2 linked regions of the Drosophila melanogaster genome follow. The protein of the gene in region 1 purifies or fractionates together with the protein of each later gene. This does not show direct contact. Each region holds a gene or a part of one and is shown in the gene's direction. Other genes may lie near its edges.

What was found.
Region 2: the proteins of CG2493 (region 1) and CG10916 purify together in Drosophila melanogaster (affinity purification with mass spectrometry, with the first as the bait; one large-scale study listed by BioGRID). This does not show direct contact.

The regions. Positions count from the first base shown.
Region 1 is NT_033779.5:20,461,085-20,465,468, reverse strand, and holds CG2493 (uncharacterized protein), read left to right. Parts: upstream 1-2,024; 5' UTR 2,025-2,098; coding exon 2,099-3,526; 3' UTR 3,527-3,884; downstream 3,885-4,384. Other genes in the region: Cdc23 (cell division cycle 23), read right to left, coding at 3,897-4,358.
Region 2 is NT_033778.4:18,171,764-18,176,490, forward strand, and holds CG10916 (uncharacterized protein), read left to right. Parts: upstream 1-1,905; 5' UTR 1,906-2,046; coding exon 2,047-2,838; 3' UTR 2,839-3,962; downstream 3,963-4,727. Other genes in the region: CG5726 (uncharacterized protein), read right to left, coding at 4,317-4,727.

The DNA.
Region 1 (4,384 bases):
GCTAATTAGTCGAACAACTAGAGAGCCACAATGATTATTGTTTCTTCTTTTGACATTAGCACACGCAAAAAGCGGGAGAATGAAATCAATTAGGCGAGCCAGCGCACAGGATGGAAAATAATCTGGCCACGAGTCCGGCGATGATTATTGTGATGGATATTTCATGTGACACCAGCGGCACCGGCGGAGTGACCTCATTGCATTGGCTGACATTTCTGATGCTGCTGCTTTGTTTCCGTTTCCGCTGGGCCCGTTTTGACAGCTGCGCACGGACCACCCACCACATTCGCCCACTCGAAATTCAATTTTCCGCCGTTTTTATGATAATTTATAGGGCTTATTAATTTATGTGCAAAACTCGCGGGACCGAATGAATTGATTTGTGTCCGCGCATAAATGTGCCATTTCGCATTAGGCACATTTACCCAATTCATTACACTAAATTGTCACAGTATTTTCTAAGATAAGTAATTTACATGCATTGTGAGCCGATCGGAGAAACTGAACTGAAGCACCAAGAAAGAATCGTGTGGCAAAGCCAGCGAGGTAACCTCTTACCATATGCCAATTATGTTGCCCCAATATTATGCCATTGGATACACTTGAGTAGCTACCCCTGCAAAAAATGCCTATCTAAAGACATATTTGACTATGTATAATATGTGGGATTGATCAGGCGGAACGACACGAAATTTATATGATAGATGCCAACGGTTGACATTATACAGGGATTTTCAAGAAACAAAATATTGTCAAACATCATTTTAAAATATTTTAACTGTGTTATATTTAGTACTACAAAATGAACTTTAATTTTTCTAGTGCGTATATTTACATCATTTCGACACATGAACTTTACATTTGCCCGTGTTTTTTACATTCTCGGTATTTTACTCTCAATCCCGTTCATGTGCCTTTAACGCCATCTGGCGTTTGTTGCCACAATCAGTTCAGAAGTGGGAAATTTATTTCAAAAAATGTGTTTGTAATTGCTGTAATTAAATGTTAAAACGAAAAAATAAAACAATTTTTTAATATATTTATATATATAGGGTACAGCTTTCAGGGTCGGAATAGCAAGGCGAATTGAAAAACTGTTATGGCTATTCTATCCTTTGGGCTATTCTATTCCAGATAGAAATAAATACAAAGATCCGATTAAAAGAGTGTCCGCTAAATACCAAAGTCGTTGTGGTAAAATATTTAGCAACAGATAAAGTTACTTTATAGTTACACTGTTCAATGATTGCAAAATATTGGCCACTCATCGAAGTGTTTACTTTTGAGAAGGAAAGTGTCCTCGAAGAAATCATTAGAGCACTTTTGGAAGCAAGATTTTCATCTAGGCACCGAAGATATTCAAATGCATTATGTTCATATTACTTTAGAACGACCCGATAGCTTGGCAGAAGGACATGTTCTTCAATGAACGTTTTAAATTATCCAACTTTCAAATCCAACAGACATAATGAAAATTTAAATAAAATACTAAACATATATGTTTATTTCATATTATGATTTTTACGGATTACGAGGCCTCATGAAATATTTTATTTTATCACTATAAATATTATTTTTAATAATTTTCCGACTTACTCACTACTCATTTTTAAATGCATGGCGAAATCGAACTCAAATCAAATCAAAATAGGGGGAAATGACAGGTGCTTTGCTGAAAATTATCGAGAGTTGAGTGCAGTGTTGGTAAGTACTTATTTGAAGAAGCTTAATGGGCATCGGTTTGTGTTTTTTAAACTTTTGGCGATTAAAAAGAAGGTTTTAAATATAAGACGTTGTTAAGATGATTCGGCACACTAAGATCAAAACAATGTTTGTTTTCTAACAAGATATGATGAGTTCAAATGAATCTCCACTTAATTCTTCATTACCCTTTACCAAATGAGTGGTAAATGTAAAATGCGTAGTTTTATTAACAATATGTATCCGATTTTGAAATGCAAGTTATCTTTTTTTTTTTTGAGTGCTTTAGAACCGCTCCAAAAATCACGTCTCGCGATCTGGTAACACTGCACAAAGTGTAATATAAAGCCCGGCTTGCAGATAACGAACTGAAAATTGTGCAAACCACAGAGGTCATATGATTCTTCGCGATATGGGAGAAGCCACAGTGAGAGCTGCACTGTTAGCGGTTTTGGGAATCCTGCTGATCGCGGGCTGTGATTGCAGCCAGCGGTTCAAGTACGAGATCAAGGAGTTCCAGGTGCCGCTGGACCATTTCAGCTTCCTGATCAACGCCACCTTCAACATCCGGTACTTGTACAACGACTCGTTCGTGGACAAGAGCAATGCCCGCACCCCGATTTTCTTCTACACGGGCAACGAGGGGGACATCGAACTCTTCGCCCAGAATACCGGATTCCTGTGGGAGCAGGCGGAACGACAGCGGGCTCTGGTGATCTTTGCGGAGCATCGTTACTATGGAAAGTCATTGCCCTTCGGTAGCTCCACGTTCAACACCAGCCTGCCGGAGCACTTGGCTTACTTCACAGTGGAGCAGACGCTCGAGGACTACGCCATGCTGATCACGTTCCTGCGGAACGATCGCCAGATGCCCGTGGTGGCCTTCGGGGGCTCCTATGGCGGAATGCTGGCCGCCTGGTTCCGGATGAAGTATCCGCATTTGGTCAACGGAGCCCTGGCAGCCTCGGCGCCCGTTCTGCAGTTCCCCGGGATAACCGATTGCGACATCTTCTACAGGATTGTGACATCGGTGTTCCAGAATGCCTACAACGAAAACTGCACCTTGAATATTGCCAAGTCGTGGAAACTCTTCGAGACTCTGGGCGCCAGCGAGGCCGGCAAGAAGCAGATATCGGATGCATTCCACCTATGCAATGCCCTGAAGAACGACGACGATCTGAAGAAGTTCCTGGACTACGTGGAGGAGGTGTACAGCAATCTCGCCATGGTCAATTACCCGTACAACAGCAGTTTCCTGGCCCCATTACCTGCCTATCCCGTGAGGCAGGTGTGCTACTACCTGAAGGAGCTGCATTCCACCGACGCCGATTTGCTGCACGCCATGTCCAGCGCTTTGGCTGTCTACACCAACTACACACAGTCCGCCAAGTGCCTCGATATATCCGTCAACTCCAACGCCGATGACTCCGGTTGGAATATCCAGAGCTGCAACCAGATGGTGATGCCCATCTGCTCCAATGGCTCCGAAACCATGTTCCGCACGTCCAGCTGGAACTTCAAGGATTACGCGGAAAAGTGCTACAAGAACTACCGTCTCACCCCCAAGCCATACGACATCATTCTGCGCTATGGCGGCAGAAACCTGGAGGCTGCGACCAACATCATCTTCAGCAACGGTCTTCTGGATCCCTGGAGCGGTGGCGGTGTGCTTCAGGCTCCCAACGACAAGGTCTTCGTCATCATCCTGCCCGAGGGAGCCCATCACTTGGACTTGCGCCACAGCGATCCGGCCGATCCACCTTCTGTGCGCGATGCCCGCGATAAGGAAGCAGCCATCATAGCACGATGGATCCAAGATTTCTGAAGCGAGATTACTTTTACCCATACTGAATCGCTCCACTATGGGGATTCATATTATATAACAGCCGAGCAAGGCCAGATTAATCAAATATTTGGTATTCTTAAACCAAGGAACAAATTATGAAACACTCAGTTTAAGATCACAAAAATTATAAGCCATACTAAAGTTTTTTGAATTGAAGATCCTGTTTGCACATTCGATTAATATGGAGTATTTAGTAGTTTTGTGAAATACTATATTTTCATTAACTATGATGGAGAAGGATGACGTTTTGGACCTGGCAATGGTGAATAGGACTAGTTCATTATTTACTTGGATTGCCAATATAATTCATAAAAACAAATAGAAATTTATACAATTGGAACGCATTTGACTAATCGATGGATACGCTGGATATTTCCATGGAGCTGTTATCATCCGAGGGCGCCTGCTCGGGCGGATTCGAAGGGCCACCGGATGTGCCAGGCGTTTCCTCGGTGGACATTGTGACAGCAGTTGCCGATGGCGTGGTGGTGGTGCCGCTGGCAGGCGCGGTTAAGCTAGTCCTGCTCGACTGGGATCGACGCATGCCCTGAATCAGGTTTCGGTCCGGACGCAAGCTGATCAGGGAGCTACTCGAGGCGCTCTCCGCAGCTACGGTGGTCGTGGAGGTAGTCGTGGTGGCTATGGATGTGATGGGAACTCGAACTCGCACATCCTGGAGCTCCCACTCCATCTCGTCCTCGGAACTGGTATCTGCATTCGCCACGGCCGTCGAAGTTTTTACCTTCTTCTGTCCCTCAGCATTGCGCTTCCAGTCAATCGTCTTCAGCAGCGCCTTTGCCTCCATTTTGCGCTAAAAAGATTGAGTGTTTTCGTTAA
Region 2 (4,727 bases), on another chromosome or scaffold:
TGAGGGGAATCCTCGAAACGCATGATGCAATATTTGCGTCAATTATGTGCATATCTCAAAAGAGGGGCTTGGAAGAAGACACAAGAGAGCCAAAGATAGAGAGTTTAATTAGCCGTTCTAATAATTTCGTTTAATAGTGAAATGGCCATTGTACATACATACATATATCTATGGCAAAGCACAATAAACAATGATAATGACAAGGCTATTCAACCGTTTATTTTTTGTTAGAAACAGCTGATTGCCGTTTTGTATTTGTTTATATAATAAAGCTTTGTTGACGTACGCAAAGCACAGCTGAAAAGCAACAAATGGCATAATCTCGTACGCATTTTTTGGCGTTTATTTATAGGCGGCAAACAAAGAGCGCAGTTAATGCGTCAGTGTGTGTGCCAAACATAGATATGTACTATGTACTTGCGTACATATGTATGTATTGTTTGTATTTTGGCAAACCAAAACAAACAGAAAATTTGCATATTATGCGCACATTAACTTGTTTCCATTGGAGTGGCGGCAAGTTTGGGAAACATAATTTGAGCCATTGAGAAACCGCACTAGCTGTAAATCAGCTGAATATCCATTTGTAGTTGTATGTTGAACTTAGCAATTAAAAGTGAAAGGATACGGGTGAACGCAGAAAAAGAAACGGGTATCTGGTCCTTGGCACTTACAGTTCATGCAGCCTTTTGTGCTCCTCTTCTCCGTCTGGTGTTTGTCCCTATATCTTTTCGGATTTATTGCGAATTGTACATAATTTGTTTAGCTTTTCCCGTAAAATTGTTTTCCGTGTCCCGAAGCCACGTACCGCGCGTCGTTGCCAGATCGGTTGAGTATCGTAAGTACCTGGTGCCACTTATCGATAGCTAATTTTAAATATTTATAAATTCTTGTGTTAAAAATGACCTGAACAGTATTTGAAACTATTATTGAGCACAGGTGAACCTTTTATTAGTTTTTAGCTATAAAATCCAAATTTATTATATATATACATTACATATTTGACTTCCTGATTATGAAATACATTTGTTTAACAACTGGCATACACTTTAATTAGTCTATTTAGTAAAAATCTATAACAAAATAAAACAAAATTGTTCTGAAACCTTGAGACCTAAATATTAGCAAAAAGTTTGAAATTAAATGTTATAAGCGTTTGAGATCCATGTAAACTTACGAAATATAAAAATAACAGTATTTCTGGCACTACTTAAAGTCCATCTCTATAAAGCTCGTATCCGTTAATTTTAAAATAAAACAAGTGCGCCATACGTATTTAAAGCTCAGTGTGTAAAGGGATTCAGATATGGATGGTAACAGCAAAGAAATGGAAAATTGAGAAGCACCCACAAATGACCCATCGCCATACCGGATTCGGAAACTAATTCCCGAACAGACAATGGGCCACAGGTGCATTCACGACGAACTTGTTCGCAGAAGTACCCGGTTAAAAGCCTGTCCTCTGACTCACAAGAATAACAGGGATTTTCCCGAGCACCCTCTGCTCATGAATCTGGACAGAGACAGCTTATCGGATGCCCACCTGCCGCCCGAGGAAGCAGTGCAGTGCGGCACTAACGAGGACGGACATCATGCGTCTGGGCAAGGTACATTCTTCCCATAAGGTCATGTACATCCCGCAGCACGGTCAAGAGGTTAACGTTGGCACCAACGAAGTACTGGTGCAGGTTTGAAACGCTACTTTAATACAAAGTAAAGATCCAGTAGATAACCACAAAATGATAGCACAGTACATTATCTTAGCCAAAATAGAGTTATGATTAAGACGCTAATATAAATGTTACTTAATATAAATGTTACTTACTTAATGCTATAAGATATTTAAAGGATTATTTTCAATCAAGATTCAAACTTATTAAAATAACAGTATTTCTAGTATATTTGGTATTCTCCAGAGGTCATCTCTAATAAAGCAGGAAAGTTGATACGAATCGTTTCGTTTTCCGCTCATTGTTGTGAAATAAATTTGGAACAGAAGAATAGAGCCACACATATTCAAAGCTCAGTATCCATAGGGACGTAGTTATGGAGAGTAATAGTAGTGAAATGGAAGGTAACGGCGGAAAAATCGCAGAAACTGCACCCACAAATGACTCATCACCTTCACTGAACATTTTATGTGCAATTTGCAACGAGTTTTTCCGGGCCAACGACATAATTTTCTCAACTTCACGGTGCGGTCATGTATTCCACAAGGACTGCCTCACCCGATGGCTGAATAGGTCCAGGACCTGCCCCCAATGCAGAGACCCATGCGACCGACGACGCGTGCACCGATTGTACCTAAACTTCGCCGAGGCCCCGGAGTTCGATGACACCGAATTGCCCAAGGTGGCCATGGATTGGGTGCCCATTGATCTGGACAGAGACAGCTTACCGGATGCCCACCTGCCGCCCGAGGGAGCTGTGCAGTGTGGCACCAACGAAGACGGACTGCCCACGTATGTGGCCAGAGGATATTACCACGACGATCTCCTGCCTGCTCCTTATGTACCGGAAAAGAAGGCTGCCTTCGGTTCGCACAGCTGTAGCGCCCGAACTCTGACCGATGATGTCGAGATCCTGGTGCTCAACGACTGTGACTACAAGTGGGTGCCCGGACAGCATGGAACATATCCGCGGGATGCTCTGAACACGGGCTACTCCGAGCTGGGTGAGGTCACCTACACGGGTCGTGGTCTTTACCAGGGTATCCTGCGTCTGGGCAAGGTGCATCCTTCCCACAAGGTCATGTACATCCCGCATCATGGTCAAGAGGTGAGCGTAAACACCTACGAAGTCCTGGTGGTCACCCCACGTGACCAGGCAGATCGATGATGCTGCTGATATCTTAAATCTCTTATGCCTTATTGTATGAATCTGTGTTATAAATACATATGTACGTCTTATTCTATTTTTGAAAAAAATCGGATCTATTATTTCTGTACTTGTTTTAAATTCGCTTATCAGTAAGCCAAGATTTGTCCCCAATTTCTTTAATCAAGCGAAAAATTGATAACTTTGTTTTGACTGCCAGCAAATTATGTACAAATAAAAGTCCCCATATACATATGTATAAGTTAGTCTGCTATTTGCTGCCCTCAAGTATGCAATTCTTTATAATAGTTTGGAAAGTGAAGATGTTTGTGACTAGACACGGGTTTAAAAATATTTTGACCTTGACTTGATCAATGCCTACGATAAACGGAAATCTTGGTTTTTTGTATATTGTATCTAAAACGGACCAACTGTCTTCAAAATGGCAAGATTAATAAAAACTGCGGTCTTAAAGCTTTCTTACTATCGCTTTTGTAAAGTATGCACAACCGAGAGTTGCCCACAGAAGTTCTGGAAAGTGGAAACGCAGAAGACGAGGGGAGTCACCCACAAGGATTCGGAAAATACATTCATCCAATCAGGTGATGTAAATACGGAGGTAAGACTATGACATTCTGCTGGTGATTTCAAAAGTTTTCAAAAGAATTTGTTTTAATGTTTGATTAATGATAATGCAATTTTTTTGTTTTATTAAAAATGTGTTAGACGCTATTTATATGCTGATTAGTGTTTTGAACCTACGCATGTTGCGAACATATTGATTATACCTAAACAAAGAGGTTTAAGTATCTATATAAGACTACTCGTATAACTCTACAATTCATGTTTTTCTCTGCACTCCGGCTTGGCTTTGTTGTTCCAACAGAGGGCCTCACAAAATTTGCTTTAAAAATACGTAAGCTTGTATAATTCGTTTAATAAATCGGCTGAACCTGCACTATAACATGACATTTAATATATAAGTATATATTTAGCTAAAAATACAAATTTTTATATGTTCAACATGCTTTTAACATTTCACCAACAGGCGTTTTACTTTTCAATAGAAATAGGATTATTTTTGTTTTTTCATTGACTTTGTACTTAGTTTCTAAGCAATTTGTATATATAAATATAAAAATGAGTGTGTGTGACTGTATTTTGTGTGGGAGTGTTTATGTGGCGTGGTTGTGTGGGACTACACAAGACATTCATATATATATAATTGGTATTTACAAATTTAGTGGCTCCAATGTGTAATGCATGCATGCTTAATATTCTTTAAGCCTGGATTTGAGATGGATTTGTTTTGTGATTGGTCTAAATTGTTTTGTATTGGTTTAACATTTGAGCTCAGTTGAAGACAAAATAATGTGAAAACAGTCTACGTGGATATACACATCCATTAGGAAACATATACGAAGGCGAAACAAATAACTTCTAAACGGACTTCAAAAACAATTTTCGTACATGTGGATGACTTCGTAAAGTGTATAAACTCATTTCTGGGCCGACAAATAGTTCATGTACTGAGTGGTCTGCTGGGCATTCCGCACCAGCTCGCTTTCCTCCTTTCCGGATGGTGGTTGGCCCTTATCCGCCTGCCCCTGCCAGTTCTCCTCGTTCTGCGGCTGATGGATGTCTGGCTGGGAGCGGCGTGTGAAATGGCGGTGCCGCTGGTGCTGATGCTGATGTGGATTTTGTGGCGATGTCTGTTGGCGACGATCAAACGAGCTGGACGCTTCGCTGGCCAAACTGCTTTGGCTGCTGTAACGCGGGAATCGAGGACCACCGCCTGCATGCGTGGGGCTCTGATTGTACCTATAGCCGCCTGATTTATCCATTTGCGATTTTGGCGGTCTCGGCAGAGTGCGAGCCCTGGATGAGCTGCGACTATTCGATTCCGGACC